4 linked regions of the Macaca fascicularis genome follow. The protein of the gene in region 2 purifies or fractionates together with the protein of the main gene of each other region. This does not show direct contact. Links are inferred from orthologs where the notes say so. Each region holds a gene or a part of one and is shown on either strand. Other genes may lie near its edges.

Region 1 (6,060 bases), on a different chromosome or scaffold from region 2:
ATACAAAACAAAGAAGCAGTCCCAGTCCTGACCCTCAAGCGGTTCAGCCATTACGGGGCCACCTCAGTACTGCAATAGCCCATGACTAGTTTCTCCTTGTCTCCCCCCAGCCTCTCCACCAGGGTGAGCAGTGAACTAAAACTGCTCAGTAGCCACCCTCTGGCCTAGCCGCAGAGTAACAGCCAAGCCCTCTGCCCACCGGCCACCTGAGCACTCCTGCCACGACTACCCACTTCATCCTTCTTGCCCCTAAAGAATCCACGTGGTTCTTTGAACACACGATGTTCTCTGAACACTGCGATGTTCCACCTCCGGTCTTCGCTGTATCCTACAAAGCCCCACCCCATTGTCTTTGCCTGGGTAACTCCTCCCCACCGCTACTGCCTCCTCTCCTCCAGGAAGCATTCTGGGCTCTCCTGTGCCCATCCAGGTCCCTCTTCTGGGCTTCCACATCAGCCAGGGCATCACTCTCACCACACTCATCAGAGTGGGCTGAGATGACCTACACACATCATGCACACTCTCCAGAGCCTAGCGTGGGCCAGGACACAGCAGCGAAGCAGGGAGAGTCGTTCAGAGGCGGGAGCGAACCTCACTTCCCTCCCACAGGCTGGCTTCCGTCGGTCTTCCCCTGACCCACAGCTCGGGTTGGCCGCACCGCCTCGCTACTGCCACCTAGGGGCGCCAGTCGGGCGCTGCGCTTCTCTTGCCATTCAGCCTTGAATTCGATTCAATAAACTGAACGGGATGGGAACACTAAAGAGGGAACAGTTGATTCCGGTTGGGGGGAGGAAGAGTGGCAGTCAGACGAGGCTTCAAACGGCCAGTGAGCTCTGGGCTGAGCCATGGAGCCTGAGCAACGGATCTCCAGGTGGAAGAGATCTATCTCCAGGTGGAGGCTGCAACAGGCAGGGAGGGTTAGAGTTTGGCGTCTACATGCAGGGGCAGGGAGCGTTTGGGTGTGAAGGAACTGGTACTCCAAACTAAGGGCTTCTAACTTTATCTTTTAAGCCACGAAAGAGGTCAAGAAAACGTCTTTTTTCTGCCCAAAGATTTTAAATCAGAAGGGACACAATTAGATGTGCATTTACAGAACAGAACTCCTGCTGGAGTGTGGAAAGGGGAAGAGATTGGAAGCCGCGAGTGAGAGAGGCAATACATTTTCATAATTTCTTGTTGTTTTCATAAACAGTTTTTTCATAATTCTCATTTCTTTTACTTGAAATAGCATCATGGGCTGGGTGCGGTGTCTCACGCCTGTAATCCCAGGACTTTAGGAGGCCAAGGCAGATGGATCTCCTGAGGTCAGGAGTTCGAGACCAGCCTGCTCAATAAGGCGAAATCCTGTCTCTATTAAAAATACAAAAAATTAGCCGTGCGTTGTGGCGGCCGCCTGTAATCCCAGCTACTCGGGAGGCTGAGGCAGGAGAATCGCTTGAACTCGGGAGGCAAAGGTTGCAGTGAGTCGAGATGGCACAACTGCACTCCAGCCTGGGCTACAAGGGTGAAACTGTGTCTCCAAAAAGAAAGAAAGAAAAAAAAAAGCACCATGATCTCAGACTCAACACATCCAAACTGAAACTCTGTCTGCTCAAAACCAATGCGTCAACATAAACAGTATTATTTCCTTCCACATTTGGAGACGTTCACGTATCTCAACCTCTTTGTGGGCCTTGAAGTTGCAGAATTTGATAACAGATCCCAGCACAAAACTTTGCACACAGAAAATACTTGATGACAACTGAGTGGAGTGTCCTGGAGCCTTGCGATTATGGGAGCAATACAACCGGGTGGTTAAGAGTAAGGGTTTTGAATCAGAGTTCAAACCCTGGCGCAGCCACTTTAGTGCATGAGACTGGTCATATGAAGTGACCCATCTAAGCCTCAGTTTCTTCATCTCTAAAATGGAAATTAATGGAAATTATAACATCATCCGCCTCAAGGACTGGAGACAAACGTCCACAAAGTGTCGAGCTCATAGTAAATCCTCAATAAATACTGGTGGTTATGTATAACATCATTTATTCAGTGCCTACCAGGTACAGACCACGCACAACGCAACAGGCTTCTCAACCCCTTCAATCTGCACACTTTTGTCCTTCCCATTTGACAGATAAGAAAACTAAGGCTCAACAGAGTCAAGCTTGTTCGAGGTCTTGGGAGCATCTCCCAGGGCATTAGAACTTTTGGAGGAAGGGATTTAGTTCAGTAATGGTTCTCACCTGCGTGTATGAGAGAGTGGAAGAGACCCCTCCCCCACAACCCGGGACATCTGGCAATGTTTGGAGATCTTGTTGATCCTCACGACTTGGGGGATGGGGATACTGCTGGTATCTAGTGGGTAGAGGCCAGGAATACGGCTCAACTTCCTACATTGCACAGGGAAGGCCCCCACCCACAACCAAAAACTATCTGACCCCGAACATCAGTAGTGCTAACGTTGAGAAACCCTTCTCTAGCCAGGTCACTCTCCTGATCTTCCCACTTCTGGCCATCCGGATCTTAGATGAACACTTTCCAGCAAGGGGGCTCAGTCCCACCACGGGAAGCCCGTGCAGAAGTTGTGCAGAAGTTCTTCCCCACCTGCCCTGCACACAGTAGGGACCAAAACCCATTTTAACAAGCCCGGCAGCCCAGAGCACCGGAAAAGGAAGGAAGGGCATCCATCCCCCATTGTTCAACTGTGTGCAGTTTGTGTTTCCAACAGACACACACACATATTTTACAAATCCTAACGTCCCACGCCCCACAAACAGCTTTGTTAGAGATGGCGCTCAAAAAAAGATGCAGTTTAGATTTTTTCCCCCCCCCCAGGACTCCCGTGTATCTACTGAAGGGTTTGCACACTTCTCAAAGGACCTCGCACCGGCCGCGGTGCTCTGACAACGACCACAAAAGAATCTGTGGGATTTCCCGGGGGAGCGAGCCCGTGGGCCGTGACCTCTGCGCGCTCAAAGCGTTCCCCGCGCTCCCCCCGCCGCTGGCCCCACTCTCCCGCCCCCGGAGCCCGGGCTTCCAAGGCGACCTGAGCCCCCGGCCGTGCAGCCCGGCCCCCCGGCGCATGCCCACGCCGTATTCCCCTCGCCCGTCCCTCGAGGCGCCAGAGGAATCCGGCCCCAGGGCCTGTTGCCGGCGCCTACACCGGCCCGCCCCGACCCGCCCGCCGCGGCCCCAGCGCGCGTCCCCTCCCGCGGTCCGGCGCGGCCTGGGCCTCGGCCGGTGCAGGCCCGCGGGCGCCCCGCGGCCAGGCCAGGCGAGCTCAGGCCTGCCGCGGCCTACCCCGTCGGGCGCCGCCGAAGGCCCCCCACCGCCTCACCTGGACGCGGGCGGGCGGGCCCGGGGCTGCTCCGGGGCGGGCGGGAGGCGGCGGCGGCGCGGCGCTAACGGCTCCGCTCGGCCTCGGTAGCGGTGGCGGCGGTGGCGGCGACGGCGACGGCGGCAGCGGCTCCTCCTCAGCGCGCACGACCCGCTCCGGCCCGCGGACCGGACACGCCCCCCCGGCGCGCGCGCCCATTGGTCGGCGTCCGCCACGTCGCGCTGCTCATTGGCCGTCGTGGCTGTCGCGGCACCCCGGGGCGCGCGGGAGAGGCGGGACTTCCGGTCGGCGCCGCCTGCGAAGGGCTCCGCGGCCGGCGGAGACGCGGGCAGCCAGCGATGGCCGCGGAGGGGGCGGACTGGGTTCCCGACCTCGGAGGCTGACGGAAGGAGGTGGCTGAGGAGCGGCGCCTCTGGTTGAGCGCTCGCCGTATGTCCCGCACCTGTGTGACCTGCCGCCGCCGCCCAGTAAGGTAGGAACGGTCAGCGCGCCGGGGTTACGCGTACAAAACCTAGGTTCGAATCCCGGCCCCGACGTTTCCTCACGTAGTGCGGTTGGGCAGGAGCTGACGTCACCTTGCCGGGCCTCAGTTTCCTTTTCTGGTGCGCTGAGGAGGCGGGGCATGGAACGTGGTCAGAGCACCATCGGTGCTGGCTCTTTGAGCAAGCCAGTTCCCGAAGGCTCAGCCTCTCATTCATTCATTAAAATGTCATTGAGCGCCTACTGTGTGTCAGTCACTGTATGGGCAGTGAGCAGAAAAAAAATACCTGGTCTTATTGGGCTAACATTCTAAGCCAGCGCTGACCTAGAATGCCCTAGTAGAAATACATACAACCTACATGTTTAATTTTTTTATGCTTTAATTTTTTAAATAAAGATGGGCTCTGGCTCTGTTGCCCAGGCTGGTCTGGAACTCCTGGACTCAAGTGATTCTCCTGCGTCCGCCTCACAAAGAGCTGGGATTACAGGCATGCTTGCACTCTGCCTAATTTTGTTTTTCTTTTTTTTGTGTGTGTGTGATCTGAAAATAATAATCTTTTTATTTTTATTTATTTATTTGAGAAGGAGTCTTGCTGAGTCACCAGGCTGGAGTGCAGTGGCGTGATCTCGGCTCACTGCAACCTCCGCTTCCCGGGTTCAAGCGATTCTCCTGCCTCAGCCTCCTGAGTAGCAGGGACTACAGGCGCGTGCCACCACAACCAGCTAATTTTTGTATTTTTAGAGTGACGGGGTTTCACGGTGTTGGCCAGGATGGTCTCTCTCTCTTGACCTCCTGATCCGCCCACCTCGGCCTCCCAAAGTGCTGGGATTACAGGCGTGAGCCACCATCTGGCCTAGAAAAGCTTTTTACAGATTGGGTCTCACTGTGTTGCCCAGGCTGGAGTACAGTGGGTGTTCACAGGTGCAATCATCCCACAGGTTTAACTCCTGACCTCAAGCAGTCCTCCTGCCTCAGGCTCCCAAGTAGCTGGGATTATAGGCATGTGCCACCACACCTAGCTCAATTAAATGTTAAATTTAACATTTAATTGTTATATTTTATGGTAGCTAGCATTCTGGATCATCACGGTGCAATAGAAATATAAGCAAAGGAGGCCAGGCACAGTGGCTCATGCCTGTAATCCCAGCACTTTGGGAGGCAGATCACGAGGTCAGGAGTTCAAGACCAGCCTGGCCAACATGGTAAACCCCCATCTCTACTAAAAATACAAAAATTAGCTGGGCGTGGTGGCGGGTATCCGTAATCCCAGCTAATCGGGAGGCTGAGGCAGGAGAATCGCTTGAAACTGGAAGGCAGAGGTTGCAGTGAGCCAAGATCCTGCCTCTGCACTCCAGCCTAGGTGAAAGAGGGAAATTCCATCTCAAAAAAAAAAAAAAGAAGTATAAGCAAGCCACAGATTTGTCAGCGAGGTATGTAATTTAAATTAATTAAATTGTTAGCCATATTTAAAAATAAGTAAAAAGAAACAGGTGATGTTAATTGTAATGTGTTTTATTTAACTCAGTATGTTGAATATGTTATTATTTAAACATGTAGTCAATATTTTAAAATACAGGATATTTTGTATCTATTATCTTTCCAAAATACAAGATACTTTGTGTGTCCTTTTTCTTTCCTGCATGCTTTTTTTTTTTTGGAAACAGAGTCTCACTCTGTTGCCCAGCCTGGAATGCAGTGGTGGGATCTCGGCTCATTTCAACCTTCCCCTCCCGGGTTCAAGCAATTCTCCTGCCTCAGCCTCCCTCCCAAGTAACTGGGATCACAGGCACCCGTGACCACACCCCGCTATTTTTTTTTTTTTTTTTTTTTTGAGACGAATCTCTGTCTGTCTGTCTCACCCAAGCTGGAGTGTAGTGGCAGCATCTCAGCTCACTGCAACTTCTGCTTCCCAGGTTCAAAGTGATTCTTCTGCCTCAGCCTCCCCGAGTAGCTGGGATTACAGGCGTGCGCCACCACGCCCAGCTAATTTTTGTATTTTTGGTAGAGATGGGGTTTTACCTTGTTGGTCAGGCCGGTCTCGAACTCCTGATGTTAGGTGATCTGCCTGCCTCGCCCTCCCAAAGTGCCAGAATTACAGCCTAATTTTTGTATTTTTAGTAGAGATGAGGTTTCACCATGTTGCCCTGCTTGGTTTTGTTTGTTTGTTTGTTTGGAGACAGAGTCTCAATCTGTTGCCCAGGCTGGAGTGCAGTGACACGATCTTTGCTCACTGCAACCTCTGCCTCCTGGGTTCAAATGATTC
Region 2 (4,261 bases):
AGGTAGAGCTGGAGTCAGGGGCTAAGAAGGGAGTTTAGCCTCTACCCTGCCGGCAGTAAGAACCATTGGTTTAAGTCAGGAGAGAGGGTATGAAATCAGATTCGTTTGGGAATGTTTACTCTAGCTGTAGTGGAGATTAGATTGAGGCAGGCCTGTAGGCAGGATCAGTTAAGTGGTTGCTGTGGCACTGTATGTCCAAACTAAGACTGAATAGAACAGAGGCAACTGATCTATAAAAGTATATTGAAAGATGTTTTGAGCTGACTAGAGGTGGTGGCTTAAGCAATTAAGCAGCTGAAAACTCCAAAGAAAACGGAGCAGAGAACACAGTACTGTCAGGACATAGGGTAGGTTGGGAGGGGAAGGAGGTCAGTTTGGAAAGCACTGAGATTTTTTTCTGTGGGATATTTAAGCAGAGATACATGTTCAGTATGCAGCTGCTTACATGGCTCAGAAAGGAAATCAAGGTTGGAGATAGACTTGTGTGTCTGTAAATATGTGCCATCAGCTTAACTGCTGAAGGTGATCTACAACATATATGCAGGATAAAGGACTTTGAAAAGGAAACCAAGACAAAAATATGACTTGCCCAAGATCATCCACATGGTGGAGAAAAGAATTAAGACAGACCCAGTTCTGTCTAATCCAATACCTTTGCCCTCTCCCATTGCTCAAATGAGAAATCTGCAAATTCACTGGAAACTGTAAAGTGTTATAAATGTATGAACATGTCTATTAAAGTGGCTTAAGAGTTCTAACGGAGTGATTATATTGCTTTTAATTGTCACAGTAGAAACTCACTTAGAAAAGAAAATGCTGGCCTTGGTCTTATTCAAAGACAGAATATGGGAGGAAGCCAAATGTTCAGCCCTAGGTCAAAAGTTTTATTCAGGTTTATGTGGCTTGTACACTTGCCAGTATTTACTTCAAAAGGTAACAATTCCAAGGTGATTTTTCTATTACAAGTAGTATCACTTAGTATACTTTTGAAACATGGTACAACTTCTCTGACATTTAAAATGAACAGATGTAACTGGCATTATAAAATTTTCTAATATATAAGGTCAACAAACTACACGGCAAGTATTCGGTGTAATACTTTATTTTCTACTGTATTAAACGAAAGCCAGGAAAATACCAAGTTATTTAAAGGCAAATCTTTACTCCTTAAAGAAAAAATACAAACTGTGGTATTTTTAAGATAGATCGTTATATTTTACATAATATAAACAAAATCACTAATGCATCTATATGCTTGGTTTCCTTAAACTACAATGAACCACAGAATGGGTGAAAATGCATTTACTTTTTGGTGGCAAATAAACATATTGGAAAAAACACGTAACACATAGCATGCCTTTTTTTCCTTACTGTCTACACACAGGAACTGACATAACCAAGATTTAATAGCCACCACCTCCTCTCCCCTGTCCAAAGTAGCCACCTCCATAGGCCCCCCTACCACCTCCTCGCTGGAATCCCCCAGATCCTCTGTAGCCTCCACTAGGCCCTCTGTAGTCTCCTCCAGAGTTGCCTCTAAAGCCACCTCGGGAAACTCCTCTATAGCCTCCACCAACACCTGCACCATATCCTGCCCGAAAGGAGTTGGGGCTGCCACCATAGCCTCCGCTACCATAGCCTCCGCCACCATAGCCTCCACTGGTATAGCCACCGCCATAGCCTCCACCGCTGTAACTAGAACCTCCCCTTCTATATCCGCTTCCATTGTCGTATCGGGCCATCTTGGGAGGACGTGGACCATCTCCATACCTAGGAAAAGCACAAAACCATCACTTCAGCAAAGCATTCTTATTATTTCCCAACCACTCACCAAATGCACACAGTTAGTTATATTTGAAAATTTAATACATAAAGGGAATGAAGCCAAACGCACAAATCGAAATTGAAACAAAATTGATCTGCTATTCTAAAACAGTCATCAATTATATCCATCTGTTTTTCTGAAGTTCTTTCTGGTTCAATCTCAAAGGTTTTGAATTTTGGCAGTATGTCATTACAACTTTAAGAAGTGCTCTTACTCAGGTCAACAACATAGTGTTCCAAGAAGGCAAGCATTAGGAGAGGGTTCCTGGAGCTGCCAATAAACTATTTGGTCTTTATCACTAAAAGTTTTCCTGCAATAATTCTGAAATACGATTTTGAAAAATGTATATCTAATTTTGAAAAATTCTATCTACTACTGTAATTTAGGCCACCACATATTCATACATCCTAAACTCTCTTACGTATATCCCTTTCTTTCTAGTTTCTGGACTACTATCCCTCATAGAAACAGATTATATATACAAAGGTTCCTTGCTTACCAGCCCTCCTACCAAAAATAATCTCTCTTCTCCTAAACACCCATGAATACTTAATTTGTTATCTGCCTATGATGCTTACTGAATTATCCTATACATTTAAGCACCTAGGAGGGCCACAGTAAAGCCTAGTAAGAACACTGTTTCAGGAGGCATGTTGCCTGGGTTTGAATCTGGTTCTATCAGTTATTAGTTGTATGACCTTGAGTCTTATCTGTGCCCGGTTTCCTTATTTATATTAAAGAGAATGAGGATAACCATCTACCCATTTTATAGACAGACCAAATGCAGTAAGTCATTTTTGATGAGGAATTAGAGGTCATTTTTGGATAACTGGAAGGATTTTAGTACAATAGCATATTATAGTATTACTAAAACACTTAAGGTTTTGGGGTGGTATTGTGACCATGTTCTTAAAAGATATGAAGTGTATTGATGTAAAATGTGGTAGTGCCTACTACTTCATCACAAATGATTAAGGAAATGTACAAAACGCTGAAAATTAGTGAATCTAAACAAAGACTATATGGCTAAACATTGTATCACTTTTCTGCCTTTTTGGCAAGTATCAAGTATTTGTAAATAAAAACTCATGGGCAAAGGAAAAAATTTTAAAACCTGAAGCAAATAAAAATTTTAAGAATTAAGATAAATTTCTCATTTCTTTGCTTTAAGATGTCCATGCTCTTAGTTGTTTAAGATAAACAAAAACACATACACATTGGATAAAGAAGCAATTTAACATCTCATCAATATTTTTTCTTTAGAGATGCCAAAACAGTACCATGGAAAAAGGGCTATCTGGGCTGTGTCACTTCCCTGTCATGTGACCTACTCTGAACTACGTATGTGTATTTGTAAGATCCTTTTCCAACACTACCAATACGCACTGATGCGGTAGACCAATTACTAACAAAGGGACTAACAAAAGTAAATGACATTTTTGTTCTGAGTTTGTTAGATGGAACTAAACTATCTGTATCTAGAATTTTACTTAATAAGGCTTCTATCACTAACTCTAGGAATTCTAGACCTATGAAAGATCTCTCCCCTCTACTTGGTTCAATGAGAAGTTAATATGGTACTCACCGTGTACTGCCAATCATAAGGTTGATACCAGCAGCTGAGGGTCTAGAGATTTGACGGATCATGTTCAGCATACGTTCATTTACAGGGTCCAACTGGCTGATGATAGCAGGTTGTTTGGTTACTTCAACAACAAGAGCCTCCATGGCTGCCCGGAGACCGGTGATACAGGCAGCAGCTTCATGAGATATTTGCAGTTTAATCCTAAAGTGGCGAAAAACATTAAAAGTAAGAGAGGGAGTATATGAAGAAAAAGACCATTATCTCTCAACCTCACACATGGCAAGTTAAAGAATAAATTTAACTTCTTAAGCATTAATATTTTTAAAAACTACTTAAAGTCTATCAAGCCAAATAAAATACAAAAATATATGTAATATATAATAAACAAAAAAAAGTCCGGCAATATGGATCATTCAGACTTATTATTTTTTGAGACACAGTCTTGCTCTGTTGCCCAGGCTGGAGTGCAGTGGCATGATCTTGGCTCACTGCAACCTCTGCCTCCCAGGTTCAAGTGATTCTCCTGCCTCAGCCTCCAGAATAGCTGGGACTACAGGTGTGCGCTACCACACTGGGCTAGATTTTTTGTATTTTTAGTAGAGACAGGTTTCACCATGTTGTCCAGGCTGATCTCGAACTTCCTGAGCCCAACTCATCTGCGGCACCCAGCCAGTCATCCAGACTTTAAAAGAATGAATTAAGAGACCCAGAATGCTGGCATTTTCTAGGTTTTCAAGAATATGATGGCTGAGCCTACTGGCTATCCATTAAGCTCTATTCCATTTTTGCCCAGTGCTTGCCACTAGTTTTGAATCAATATAGAGAGTATGTGAAAGTGTATTCAAGTTTCA
Region 3 (5,897 bases), on a different chromosome or scaffold from region 2:
CATGGTGAAACCCCGTCTCTACTAAAAATAGAAAAAATTAGCCGGGCGCAGTGGCGGGCGCCTGTAGTCCCAGCTACTCGGGAGGCTGAGGCCGGAGAATGGCGTGAACCCGGGAGGCGGAGCTTGCAGTGAGCCGAGATTGCGCCACTGCACTCCAGCCTGGGCGACAGAGCGAGACTCCGTCTCAAAAAAAAAAAAAAAAAATCAATTTTTTTTATTCTAAAAGTTTCAAGATATTATTTACACCTTGCCTGTCCCTCAGAGAACTTCATGGACTCCAAGCCCCATACTCAGCCTGAGCCAAATGAAGACATCCAGAGGAATTACTCCTTCCACAACCACAGTTTTCATATTTCTCTTCCACCCCTTCTCTGAACCTGCTCTAAGGTGTTGGAAGATACTGATTCCTAGGAGAAGAGACAGATACTTGACTATGGCGTAATCAGCTAACAAGAATAATTTTTGGGCTGGGCGCGCTGGCTCATGCCTATAATCCCAGCACTTTGGGAGGCCAAGGCGGGCGGATCACGAAGTCAGCAGTTCAAGACCAGCCTGGCCAATACAGTGAAACCTTGTCTCTACTAAAAATACAAAAATTAGCTGAGCGTGGTGGTGGGTGTCTGTAGTCCCAGCTACTCAGGAGGCTGAGGCAGAAGAATCACTTGAACCCAGGAGGCGGAGGATGCAGTGAGCCGAGATCACGCCACCGCACTCCAGCCTGGATGACAGAGCAAGATTCCATTTAAAAAAAAAAAAAAAAGCCGGGCGCGGTGGCTCAAGCCTGTAATCCCAGCACTTTGGGAGGCCGACGGGTGGATCAAAAGGTCAGGAGATCGAGACCATCCTGGCTAACACGGTGAAACCCCGTCTCTACTAAAAAACACAAAAAACTAGCCGGGCGAGGTGGCGGGCACCTGTAGTCCCAGCTACTCGGGAGGCTGAGGCAGGAGAATGGCATGAACCCGGGAGGCGGAGCTTGCAGTGAGCTGAGATCCGGCCACTGCACTCCAGCCTGGGTGACAGAGCGAGACCCCGTCTCAAAAAAAAAAAAAAAAAAAAGGCCGGGCGCGGTGGCTCAAGCCTGTAATCCCAGCACTTTGGGAGGCCGAGACGGGCGGATCACGAGGTCAGGAGATCCAGACCATCCTGGCTAACCCGGTGAAACCCTGTCTCTACTAAAAAATAAAAAAACTAGCCGGGCGTGGTGGCAGGTGCCTGTAGTCCCAGCTACTCGGGAGGCTGAGGCAGGAGAATGGCGTGAACCCGGGAGGCGGAGCTTGCAGTGAGCTGAGATCCGGCCACTGCATTCCAGCCTAGGCGACAGAGCGAGACTCCGTCTCGAAAAAAAAAAAAAGAATAATTTTTGTGGAATAAAATTAAACATCTCCACTCTGAGCGTGGCCTCCGATCTCTACTGTACCATCTACTTTCTCAAAGTACTCACTGTAATCTTGAACCAGTTCTTTGAGGTCCCATCCTGGCTGGTGCCAGCCCCTCCTCTCTCTGGAGGAGCTCTGTCTCTCCGCACAGTAACATGAATGCGATCTCGATCATGCCAAGTATCACCCCGACGGTTAGGTCGGGTGGTATAGGGGTTGCTGTGGGTAAACAGAGAATAAAATGACCACAAATGCTAGGAAAGTCTTCTCAAAGACCTTCCTGCACTGTGTTGGCGGGACTAAACTAAGACTGTTCAATCGCTAAGCTAGTCCTGGCATTTCTCACTATAACAGGTGGGAAGGAAAATGACATGGACAGTAAAAGGGCCATATAATCTCATGAGCCACTAAATTCAAACCAGACCAACTGGTCACTTACTATCGTACTCGGGGACCATCCTGGGCATCACTCATTGCCACATCTCCATCATCTTCCTCCAGGCGGGAAGACCGAATACCAGAACCGCCTCTTCCAGACCTACGGTTTCCTTCACCATATTTCCACCGGAAGGGACCCCGGCCTTTTTTCTTTCTTTGAGGGAAATTAACGCGTTCATCATCGTGTTCTGGAGTTAGAAACAGGAACACAAATTAGAAGTAACTGGTCCGGCTTGGTGTGGCAATCATAGTTTCTACTCTGAACTACTGGAAGAGATACATACTAACTACACAGGCCATCTCCATGCAAACTCCGCTGCCTGTCCACAGGAAAGAACTCTCTCTGTGGGAGGTCAGCATCAAGGAAAAGTTATTGGAAATCTGTGCAGGGCTTTTGAAAAATGAAGTAGAAACTGGAATTAGAAGCAGAATGTATAAATGTGAGACCCAAAAGTGTAAGTGAACACAAATCAGACCTCTGAAAGCCACCTGAAATCTGCCACTCAATACTTTGTCTATACAGTACAGATGCCAGTTACAAATATGATCAGTTTAAGGATCCTCTAAAAATTCTCCTTGTTCTCAAATTGCCACTTTGAAGTTTTCTGAGGAGCTCTTCGATTCCTTGGCCAGAAATGCCCTTTAACTCAGGAGACAATTTCTAGACTCAGGCTCTAGTGGTAGTGCCAGGCTAGGGTGCTTAACCAGGGACCCTGGAATGCTCTCCAGGAATATGATCTGATTCATGCTGTGCAGGACTAGCGTCTTAAAAAGGGTCCCTAACTCCCAAAAGAGATCTGCCTAATACCGAGCACTCTGTAAACAATGAATCTCAACAAATGACCCTAGGAAAAAAGAACACAGAAGGCGCAGCTAACATTCATTGAGAACTGTTCTCCAGTACCGGCCACTATGCTTCAGGCACTTGATAGGAATGATCTCATTTTCCCCCCTACTTCCCCCCCAACTCTTAAGAAATACTGTTGTTATTCCACTTTAAAGGGGTGGAAGAGGAGAGTTTTAAATTCACGGTTTCAACCTCCACCATGCACTCCTAACTACTACAAAGAACTAACACCCAGTGTAGTGTTCAGACTGGAACATCCAGTTGATGTGTAAGTCTCGAATATTAAGCCAAAGCCCAGGCCCGAGGGTTCAAGACCGACTGGACGCAGTAAAAAATAGGGCACCAGGGCAGCCCATGAGTAGGGCACTAACTCACATTAAAGGAAGAGTCAGGCCGCCAAACCGAACTGACAGGCATCAACCACCCACAAAGTTCAAAGGAATCCCGTCCCCCTACCCCCGAGCCACCCGCTCCGAGCCGCAGGTCCCCCAACACCAGGATTCCAGGAGGAATCCAGGAGTCAACAACTCTGTAATCCACCTCGAGTGCCCCCGACCCCCCGCGCGCCGCTCCCCGCGGACGCCGGGCCCCTGGCGGCCTCACGCCCCGGAGGCTGAGGCCTAGGCCGGCGCCGCCCACCCGCGCCCCAGATAGCCGGTTCCCGACCCGAGGACCAGCACTGACCGCTGTACGACTTCCCCTCGTCCGCCATGCCACAGCGAAGAGCAAGGGCGGGCTCAAGCGCTGGCCGCTACGCCGGCAAACGACCGAACGCCCAAGCACTCAGGACCGAAGTGTCCCTACGCCGGGCGCCACCGCATTTATATAGCAAAGCACGTCGCGCGCCGCTGACGTCCCAGGCTGGAGGCAGTGTCGCCGCCCGGAGAAAGCGCGACCCCCTGCGCGTGCGCACACTTAAGGCCGTCGTGCGAGGGGCGGGGCCTGACCCTCCGCGCCCCGCCCAAGACCTGAGCTTGCGGAACCCCGGCTGGTAGCCAGCAGGTCCCCGCATGTTTTCATCTGTCCGCTGACGCTGCCCTGGCAGCTTGAGTTAGTGCTAGAGCAGAGTGCTGCCGCTGCAGCCCAGAACTCAGCGGGGAACGGGGCCGTACCAAGGGCTTCCGAGGAATGGAGACCGCGCCTCCGGGTGGGAGTGATGGCTCAGACCCCTACCCGCATCTAGCCAGTGTTTCAGCTCGGCTCCTTGTCTATGCCTCGCTTTCTTCGCCTATAAGATGGATTAACAAATCACGAAGTTGAGAATTAGAATGTGAGCTCGAACGTTGACTAAAGGCTTTTTTTTCCTCGAGGGCTTGACTCGGCAGGTACTATGCCTGGCACATAGTAAAAATTCAACATGTATTTGTGAAATAAATGAATTTCTATTCTGTGAATTTCCCCCACCCCACCCTGAGTTGCTGAGTCAAATGAGACGACATCTGTCAGGGGTTTGCCGAGCATTGTCTTCACAGACCATCAATGGCGTCCCCTGTTAGAAACCCATCGTGTCAACGGGGCAGACAGTGAAGCTCACCAGCAGTGGCAACTTGCTGGAGATGCCGAGGAGGAGGACATTTTAAAATATCAGGGCCTTGGGCTCTCCTAGACCCCCAAAAGCACCACCATCAGCCCCTGATTGATTGTTGTCTCTATAGCTTCAGCTTCCTTTGGAATGTATGAGACAGGGGCACTGGAGCGTCCTCAGAATGTGGTTGCGAGTCTTGGTCAGGAAGAACAAAGCACATTAATCTCTCTGGACGGTGGGTATTTTGGGCAGGTGTCTCCTCCATTCTCTGTGACTGGCTTTGATTTGGTGAAGTGCTTTGAGGGAATCAAAAGCCTCAACTGGAGTTGGGAACAAATTCTTCACCTTCCACTCCTGGCAGCAGGCAGAGCTTCTGCCTTGCTTAGCTCAAGGAAGAATTACGGCCAAATAGTTGGAGGATACAGATGAAACAGGTCCAAACACTGTTTGAGATGGTCTTGGAAGCTGCCACCAATCAGGGACCCCCTCTGGGATCCTGCTTCTGTGTGAAAGGAAGTTTCCACGCTAATCAAGTGTTGCAACACTTGGTTCTCCCCTGTCTAGAGGCAGCTGTGTGTCAGAGCCCAAAATAGCCTGCCTCAGCAGTGATACCTGGCACAGCCATTAGCCCAACCCTTTCAGTTCTGGTACTGGGCAGTGGGCTCACTCCACTCGCTGCCTAGGCCCTTCGACGCTCCCACCCAGAAATGATGACATGGCTAGTGAGGCTGACAGTCTTGCTGTAATTAGGAGAAAACGGGCTGCAGCACATTTGGCAGATTGAGAGTCACCAGCAGCCAATGTCAGGGGTTGTGCAGGCAGCTGAAGGGCTCAGGGTTCCCTGCCCCACATGGTGAAAGAGGAAGAAAGAGGTCAATTGGGAAAATTGGTCCCTGGGGCTGCTTCCTCTCTTCACTCACAGGAAGGTGGGGAAAGGCATCATCTCCCTTTGCTGCCAACGTTTCCTTTGGGAGAGGCTGGAGAGGGTTTATAAAAGTCTCCTAGTGGAGACAACCTACCCCACTGGCCCCCAGCTGGCCTCTGTTCCCTTCCAGTCACTTCACACACAGAGTCCAAATCTAGAACCCTGTGTGTTTCATAGGCCTGAGGGTGGTGGGGGGAGGACAGGGTGGCCAGAGGCAAGGGGTGGGGGGTCAGGGGCAGTGGCCATTCTTTGCAGTTCCAGGGAAACAGGGCCTTTCTCCCAAGCACCCTGCATAGGCTCAGTGGCAGCACTGGCCACTTGCCTTCCTAGGAGGGTCCCAAACCCCAACGGAGTGCCTCAGAGTGGAGAGGGTTCAAGCAAGGAAGACCACAAAGATGATGAAGAAGACAATGAGGATGAGGAAGATTTTGACCATGAGCCACCGGTTGGAGGTGACTGACTGGAAGTACTTGAGGATCTCTGAATGGGCGGCCTCAACGTCCAGCTGGGCTCCCAGCACGTTCTCGTCGATCCTGGGGACAAGGCCGGGAGAAGAGGAAACAAAAGGACACTGGATTAAAAAGAATGCTGCTGAAGTCTATTTATTGACATGGAAAGATGGTCACAATATGATCCCATTCTTATATACATATATTTGTGTATAGAAAAAGTTTTGGAAGGATACTATAAAGTTATTTCTGGCTTGAAAACCAACTCTGCCATTTATTAACTTAAGACTCTTAAGTTAGTCTAACTTCAAGCTTCATTTTCCTCACCAGCAAA
Region 4 (6,157 bases), on a different chromosome or scaffold from region 2:
ACTACTATTCCAATTGACCCAGGTCTTCCCACCAAAACTGAGTAAGTCAAGCAGAGTAGTATTTAACAATTGCAACGAAAAATCTCAGAATCATTTTCTGTATCCTAGAGGCCACTCTACAGCCAACAAAAAGTTGGACCAAATTACCAAATGAAGTAGCCCACATGTAATTTGTATATCACTAGAATTAAAAAAAAGACAGAAATGTATGGAAACTGTAGATTTGAGAGCAAAGGATTTGACTATGTGTTAATCACATCAATGTGCAAAAACATTCACCCCATTTGTCAGAGGATATAACACTATTTGTACCAAGCATCCGCTACCCTTTGTCAAAGTGACTACTGAGCAGCCATAACTTAGCCTAATAATCTTAACCTTTCTTCATACTTCTTTAAAAGCCCTGTCAATCAGAAAAAAAAAAAAAAATCTGGCAAGAACTAGACCTTTAGGAATTGAACAGTGACAAAAAGTTAAAAAATGGTTCAATATTAAAATATTATTTTATTTTAAAGCCCAATAATCTTTCAGAAAGTTTCTTAGTATAGCTTTGAGCCTTCAACATCAATATTTAAGTCAAATATTTAAGTTAAATATTATCATAACATCAAGTTAAGCACACTAGATTAAAAGGTACTCTGAACCCACCCACCAGGTTATACATACTCTCACTCAATCATGTAAAGAATTGAATTCTTTATTTGTGATATCCATAAACGTTGCTATTCTATATTTCTATTCAGAAAGGCAATTTTCTCCTATTATCAGTTTTTTCTTCTCTTATAAACAACAACTTGAATGCTATTGCATGAAAGGGCTACAAATATACATTTGTTAACCAAGCAGAATACACAGATATTTTGCTTTACAACTTGCACCTAAAATACCAGTATACGTAGCTGGTTCATTAGTTGTCATAGCAATTTAGGGCTATTGCCCAAGCTATGCATAGCAGTTTACATTTTCAAACCTCATATAGAAAGGGCAATTGTGATATGAACTGGCAACTACATTCCTGTGAAGCCCATCTCAGTTACAAGCAAACGTGTAACTTCCAAGTCTGCAAAGAATTCTGATGGCAAAACTTCTATATCTGATGCAATTGTCCTAAGCAAGTTTTTAAACAAATTGTTTCGCAGCTACTCTGCCATTCTGCCAGTAGGTGGTGCTACAAAGATCGGGAAAAGGATTTCCATGAGGACAACAGTTCAGATATAGGGGGGGGAAAAAAACCGTTTAAACCTGCTCTGAAAGTACAAAAACGCATCTGAGGGTAAAATATAACCCTTATTTTTAACCATTCATTACAGATAAACCAGTAAGAGGGATGAAACTAGGCCATCTGAAAAATTTTAAACAGTTTATATGAATGACATGCTTAACACAAACTATATAGAACTACACAGTACACAGTTTGAAGTAAATTGTCATAGAAATGACCAACCATGTCAAGATGGTAAGCAAATCGCTTAGTACAAGAGATGGATGCACAGAAACTTAAGAGTTTAAAAAGCCACATCCACCACTTCAAAAGTTTTGCCTGTAAGGGATATAATTCAACACGCAACTAGCAGGGCAACGGGGGGCGGGAGGGGGACCACAGGACCTCTTAAGTTTCTCTAAGTACACATCAAGAATAAAGAATTAACACGTAAAGTCTTAAACAAATATCCCTTAAAAACGGTACGGAATGGATCCTAGAAAAGAAATGTTAGACATGTACGGTCAAACACAATGATTTATTAAAAATAAAACGTAAAAATGATTTTTGTACATATGCTTCCAAATTTCAGGCATGGGATCCAAGTAGATTTCATAGAAAACGCTGTAGCCAGGTTATCAAGTCCTTACAACAAAGTAAACTACCCCCCACCCCAACCCCCGCCCAGGTTTTGCTACAGAATCAGCAAGTTCACTCCCTCCCTCCCCCCAAAAAACACAAATTAAAACAAGACATTTTGCTAGTATAAAAACGACCAAGGTCCAAGTAATAATAAAAAAATAGAGTCCATCAATGACTGTAACACAAAAATGTGTATGTGGGGCCGAGTCCATCTTCAGAGGGAGAGACAAGAGAGGTGGCAGGCAAATAGAGGAACACCCCCAAGGGTAAGCAGCCTTAGAAGTGGCTCCCCCAAGGGCAAAACAGGGAAGGCGGTGGTGTGGGTGTGAGGGGGTGGGGCTTAGGAGTTGACCCCACTTGGGTTTTTGAAAAGAGCTACCCCAATAGCCACTCCCAGGCATTTTAAATTTTCTTTTAGAAGGAGCTCCCTCCATAGCCACCCCCACCTCCATAGCCGCCTCTGTAAGGTCCACTATTACTGCGACCGCCCCAGCTGCTGCCTCCGCCGCCGCCGCCGCTCTTCATGGGCCCGTAAGAGGACTGATGCTGACTGTAGCTGCCGAAGCCGCCGAAGCCGTTACCGTAGTCGCTCCCACCGTAGGACGAACCGCCGCCGCCGCCTCCGTAAGCATTGTAGCCGCCGCCACCGCCGCCGCCGTAACCACCGTAGCTGTTGTAACCGCCGCCGCCGCCCTTGGAAAGGCCGTTCTGGTCTCGACCACCGCCGCGCCCCCGGCCGCCTCGGCCGCCCCGGGAGGATCGGGAGCCGCCTCCACCCCCACCGGAGTAGATATCCTCCTTGGGGACTGCCTTCTTCACCTCCACGCGATGGCCCTGAATCGGATGGAACTTGACCACCGCGGCCTTGTCTGCCGCGTCGTGATTCTGAAAATACACGAAGCCGAATCCACGCTTCTTGCCGGACTGCTTGTCGGCAATAATCTCGGCCTTTTCCACGGTGCCAAACTGCGAGAAGTGCTCGATCAGGTCGCCCTCAGCCACGTCTCCCTTAAGGCCGCCGACAAAGAGCTTCTTAACCTTGGCGTGGGCACCGGGCCGCGCCGAATCCTCCCGGGACACCGCCCGCTTCAGCTCCACAGTGTTGCCGTCCACGGCATGGGGCGAGGCGGCCATGGCGGCGTCGGCCTCCTCCACATTGGAGTAGGTCACGAAGCCAAAGCAACGGGAGCGCTTGGTCTGGGGATTCACCACCACCACGCAGTCCGTCAGAGTCCCAAAGGCCTCAAAGTGGCCGCGCAGGCCCGACTCACTCGTCTGCACATTGAGGCCGCCGATGAACAGCTTACACAACTGGGAATTCTCCATCTCCAAGGCTCGGGCCTTGCCCCCGCCCTGCGAGCTCCGAGGTTTCGCCGTCGCCGCCGTTATCGTTGGTTAAGGCCTCTACACAGCTTGGGCCCAGCCGCTGCTGGAGCCACCCCCGCCGGTCACCGACAGGGAAGGGAAAAAGGGAAGGGGAGGGAAGGAAGGAAGAAAGGAAGGGGGAGGGAAGGGGAGCGGTGCCGGCGAAAGGGCGAGCCGAGGAGACTGGAAGACAACCAAGGCCACCGCTACCGCCGCCGCCACCTCCGCTCCCCTATCTGGGCACCACACAAAGAGGCCGCTGAACGCGCGCGCACCCTCCCCGAGGCGTGCGTCACCGCCGACGTACGGCAGCCTAGGGCTGCCCTCCAATCCCCGCCTCGCTCCCCTTAATCCCGCCTACCGCGCCGCAGCGCCGCTCTAGATCACGGACTCCCCGCCCTCCGCGGTCTATTCAAGCCCGCGGCCTGTGCCGCTCCCGCCTCCCCTTCTGCCAGCCCGCTCTCATTCCCGAGCGCCCTATTGTCACTTGACATGGGTCCCTCCCTGCCCTCCGCGCACCGCCGCGATTCATTTCCTCCTAGCACTGCGGCTGTTCCCAGTGTTTCTCCCCCTCCCCTTTCCTCATCTCCGCGCCCAACTCCGCAGTGGCGTTCGCGCCAGCCCCTTGAGAGACATGTCAGTTCAGCCAATCACCGTGATCCCCTCGCACCCACTTCCGTTTTCGGCAGCTGTTGGACGGGCGCGCTCCCCGGTGCGCGCTTGCCCCGGCGCCCCCAGCATGCAGAGCCTGTCTGCCACCCCCTCGCCTTCTGCAGCCCAGGGCTTTGCAGGGGAGAGAGCAGGAGGCGCGCTGGGGGCCATTCCCAGCGGATGCGGCCTGGGGCGCCACGCGCGGGCTTTTTGAAAACTTGACGTTGGGGTTGGGGGCCCGGATCTACCCGCCGCCTTTCCGCTTGTCCGCTACACCTGGCGTCCCCGCCCCACCTCCCGCCCGCACAAAGATGGAGGGCAGAGGCCTGGTCCACGAAGGCGGTTATTAACCGTTTACGGTGGGCTGACATGCGGTTAAACTAAAACTTTGCCACGTGGCCCTGCGCAAAAGCGAGCCCGAGGCGGCGGTGTGAAAGACAACGGAACCAAAGAGCTTCAGACATTACGAACCAGACGAGGCGCGACATCCCTGCCACCCTCCCGCCATCCTTGAAGCCCTCCCACGACGCCCTCTCAGAAGGAGGCCCTTTCAGGTCCCCTTGGCATACTCCAAAATTTTCATTTAACCTCAGTGAATGGGTTTTTATGTGTAATTTACATCATCCATGTGTTGCTTTCTTTCAACTAGAATGTTAGTTTTTTGTTTTTTTGTTTTTTTTTTTTTGAGATGAGTTTCACTTTTGTTGCCGAAGCTGGAGTGCAGTGGGGCAATCTCGGCTCAGCAGCCTCCGCCTCCTGGGTTCAAGCTGTTCTCCTGCCTCAGTCTCCTGAGTAGCTGAGATTACAGGCGCCCACCACCATGCCCGGCTGATTTTTGTATTTTAGTAGAGATGGGGTTTCACCATGTTGGTCAGGCTGGTCTGGAACTCCTGACCAGGTGATCCATCTGCCTCGACCTCCCAAAGTGCTGGGTTACAGGCGTTAGCCACCGCGCCTGGCCTAGAATGTTAGCTTTGCTTGTTTTTTGTGTTTTGTTTTGTTTTTTGTTTTTTTGAGACGGAGTCTCGCCCAAGCTGGAGTGCTACGGCACGATCTTGGTTTACTGCAACCTCTGCCTCCCAGGTTCAAGCGATTCTCCTGCCTCAGCCTCCCGAGTAGCTGGGACTACAGGCACGCACCACCACGTCTGACTAATGTGTGTATTTTTTAGTAGAGACAAGGTGAACATGTTGGCCGGACTGGTCTCAAACTCGTGACCTAGTGATCCTCCCGCCTCGGCCTCCTAAAAGTAGAATGTTAGCTTTTTAAAGGTGTTGGTTAGACGAAGTTTTACAGAGAGAAAGAGAGATCATATAGCCCTAAGTCACTGCTTTTAGTGCCCTCACTCAGATGGGAATGGAAGAAAATTACAACGGCTTCCATTTATTGAGCCTTTGTGTGCCAAGCAAGATACATGGGGTGGGACATAGTTAATATGAGGCATTACGTGACCAAAAGCCTCCAAAACTATATGGTAAATACTGAAGAAGTTAAGAGGAATTCCTCACCGTATCCTCAAGTATTCAGGAAAGATTTAGGAAAGAATTGGAAGTTGCACTGAACCTCAGAGCCAAAGACTAGTTAGTATCCTAAACAAATTAAGGCTGGAACAGAAAACCAAATACCACAAGTTCTCACTTATAAGTGGGAGCTACACATTGAGTACCTATGGACACAAAAGAAGGGAACATTAGGTCTTTTTTAAGGATGGCGGGTGGGAGGAGGGTGAGGACTGAAAAACTACCTATGAGGTATTATGCCGGTGACTTGGGTGACAAAATTATCTATACACCAAACCCCCAAGACAATTTACCCACATAACAAACCTCCACACGTATCCCTTGAACCTAAAATTAAAAATTGGAAAGGAAAAAAAAAAAGATTTCTATATGGAGTTTACTTGAGCAAAATCCAGAGGGAACATAAGCTTCAAGAGACAGGGAGTGGACCAGTTAGTTTGAGAGGAGCAGGCAGTTTTAGATAGAAAACAGTAAGAGGTAAGACAGGTTGAGGGTCTTTGATACTATGAAATGATACTATGGAATGTGTTGAATCTTAGGTTAAGTAGTTAGGGGGATATTGTAACAAAGGTAAATAGATGGACTAAAGTTTGAGGGTAAACTCGTCTGGTCTATCACCCTGTAACCATCCAGTTATGTGACTTTGGGCAAGTTACTTAACCTTTTTAAAAATGTAATCAGTTTTATTATCTTAAAATGGGAATAGTAAAACATCTTTCTGTTGTAGTGAAAATTAAAGAGATTCTACATGTATACATGCCTGGCACATAGTAAGTGC

Evidence for each region.
Region 1: the proteins of DHX9 (region 2) and ELAVL1 purify together in Homo sapiens (affinity purification with mass spectrometry; 3 studies listed by BioGRID and IntAct, with this or other methods). This does not show direct contact. The link is inferred for Macaca fascicularis from reciprocal best matches to the Homo sapiens genes DHX9 and ELAVL1.
Region 3: the proteins of DHX9 (region 2) and NXF1 purify together in Homo sapiens (co-immunoprecipitation; 4 studies listed by BioGRID and IntAct, with this or other methods). This does not show direct contact. The link is inferred for Macaca fascicularis from reciprocal best matches to the Homo sapiens genes DHX9 and NXF1.
Region 4: the proteins of DHX9 (region 2) and HNRNPA0 purify together in Homo sapiens (affinity purification with mass spectrometry; 3 studies listed by BioGRID and IntAct, with this or other methods). This does not show direct contact. The link is inferred for Macaca fascicularis from reciprocal best matches to the Homo sapiens genes DHX9 and HNRNPA0.

What each region holds. Positions count from the first base shown.
Region 1 is NC_088393.1:8,721,665-8,727,724, forward strand, and holds the start of ELAVL1 (ELAV-like protein 1), read right to left. Parts: upstream 3,464-6,060; 5' UTR 3,317-3,463; intron 1-3,316. UniProt on the Homo sapiens protein: RNA-binding protein that binds to the 3'-UTR region of mRNAs and increases their stability.
Region 2 is NC_088375.1:40,419,012-40,423,272, reverse strand, and holds the end of DHX9 (ATP-dependent RNA helicase A), read right to left. Parts: intron 3,612-4,261; coding exon 3,411-3,611; intron 1,771-3,410; coding exon 1,404-1,770; 3' UTR 1,087-1,403; downstream 1-1,086. UniProt on the Homo sapiens protein: Multifunctional ATP-dependent nucleic acid helicase that unwinds DNA and RNA in a 3' to 5' direction and that plays important roles in many processes, such as DNA replication, transcriptional activation, post-transcriptional RNA regulation, mRNA translation and RNA-mediated gene silencing.
Region 3 is NC_088388.1:11,243,413-11,249,309, reverse strand, and holds the start of NXF1 (nuclear RNA export factor 1), read right to left. Parts: upstream 3,464-5,897; 5' UTR 3,377-3,463; coding exon 3,349-3,376; intron 2,006-3,348; coding exon 1,819-2,005; intron 1,599-1,818; coding exon 1,445-1,598; intron 1-1,444. Other genes in the region: STX5 (syntaxin-5), read right to left, coding at 5,488-5,647.
Region 4 is NC_088380.1:144,232,820-144,238,976, forward strand, and holds HNRNPA0 (heterogeneous nuclear ribonucleoprotein A0), read right to left. Parts: upstream 3,464-6,157; 5' UTR 3,170-3,463; coding exon 2,258-3,169; 3' UTR 682-2,257; downstream 1-681. UniProt on the Homo sapiens protein: mRNA-binding component of ribonucleosomes. Specifically binds AU-rich element (ARE)-containing mRNAs. Involved in post-transcriptional regulation of cytokines mRNAs.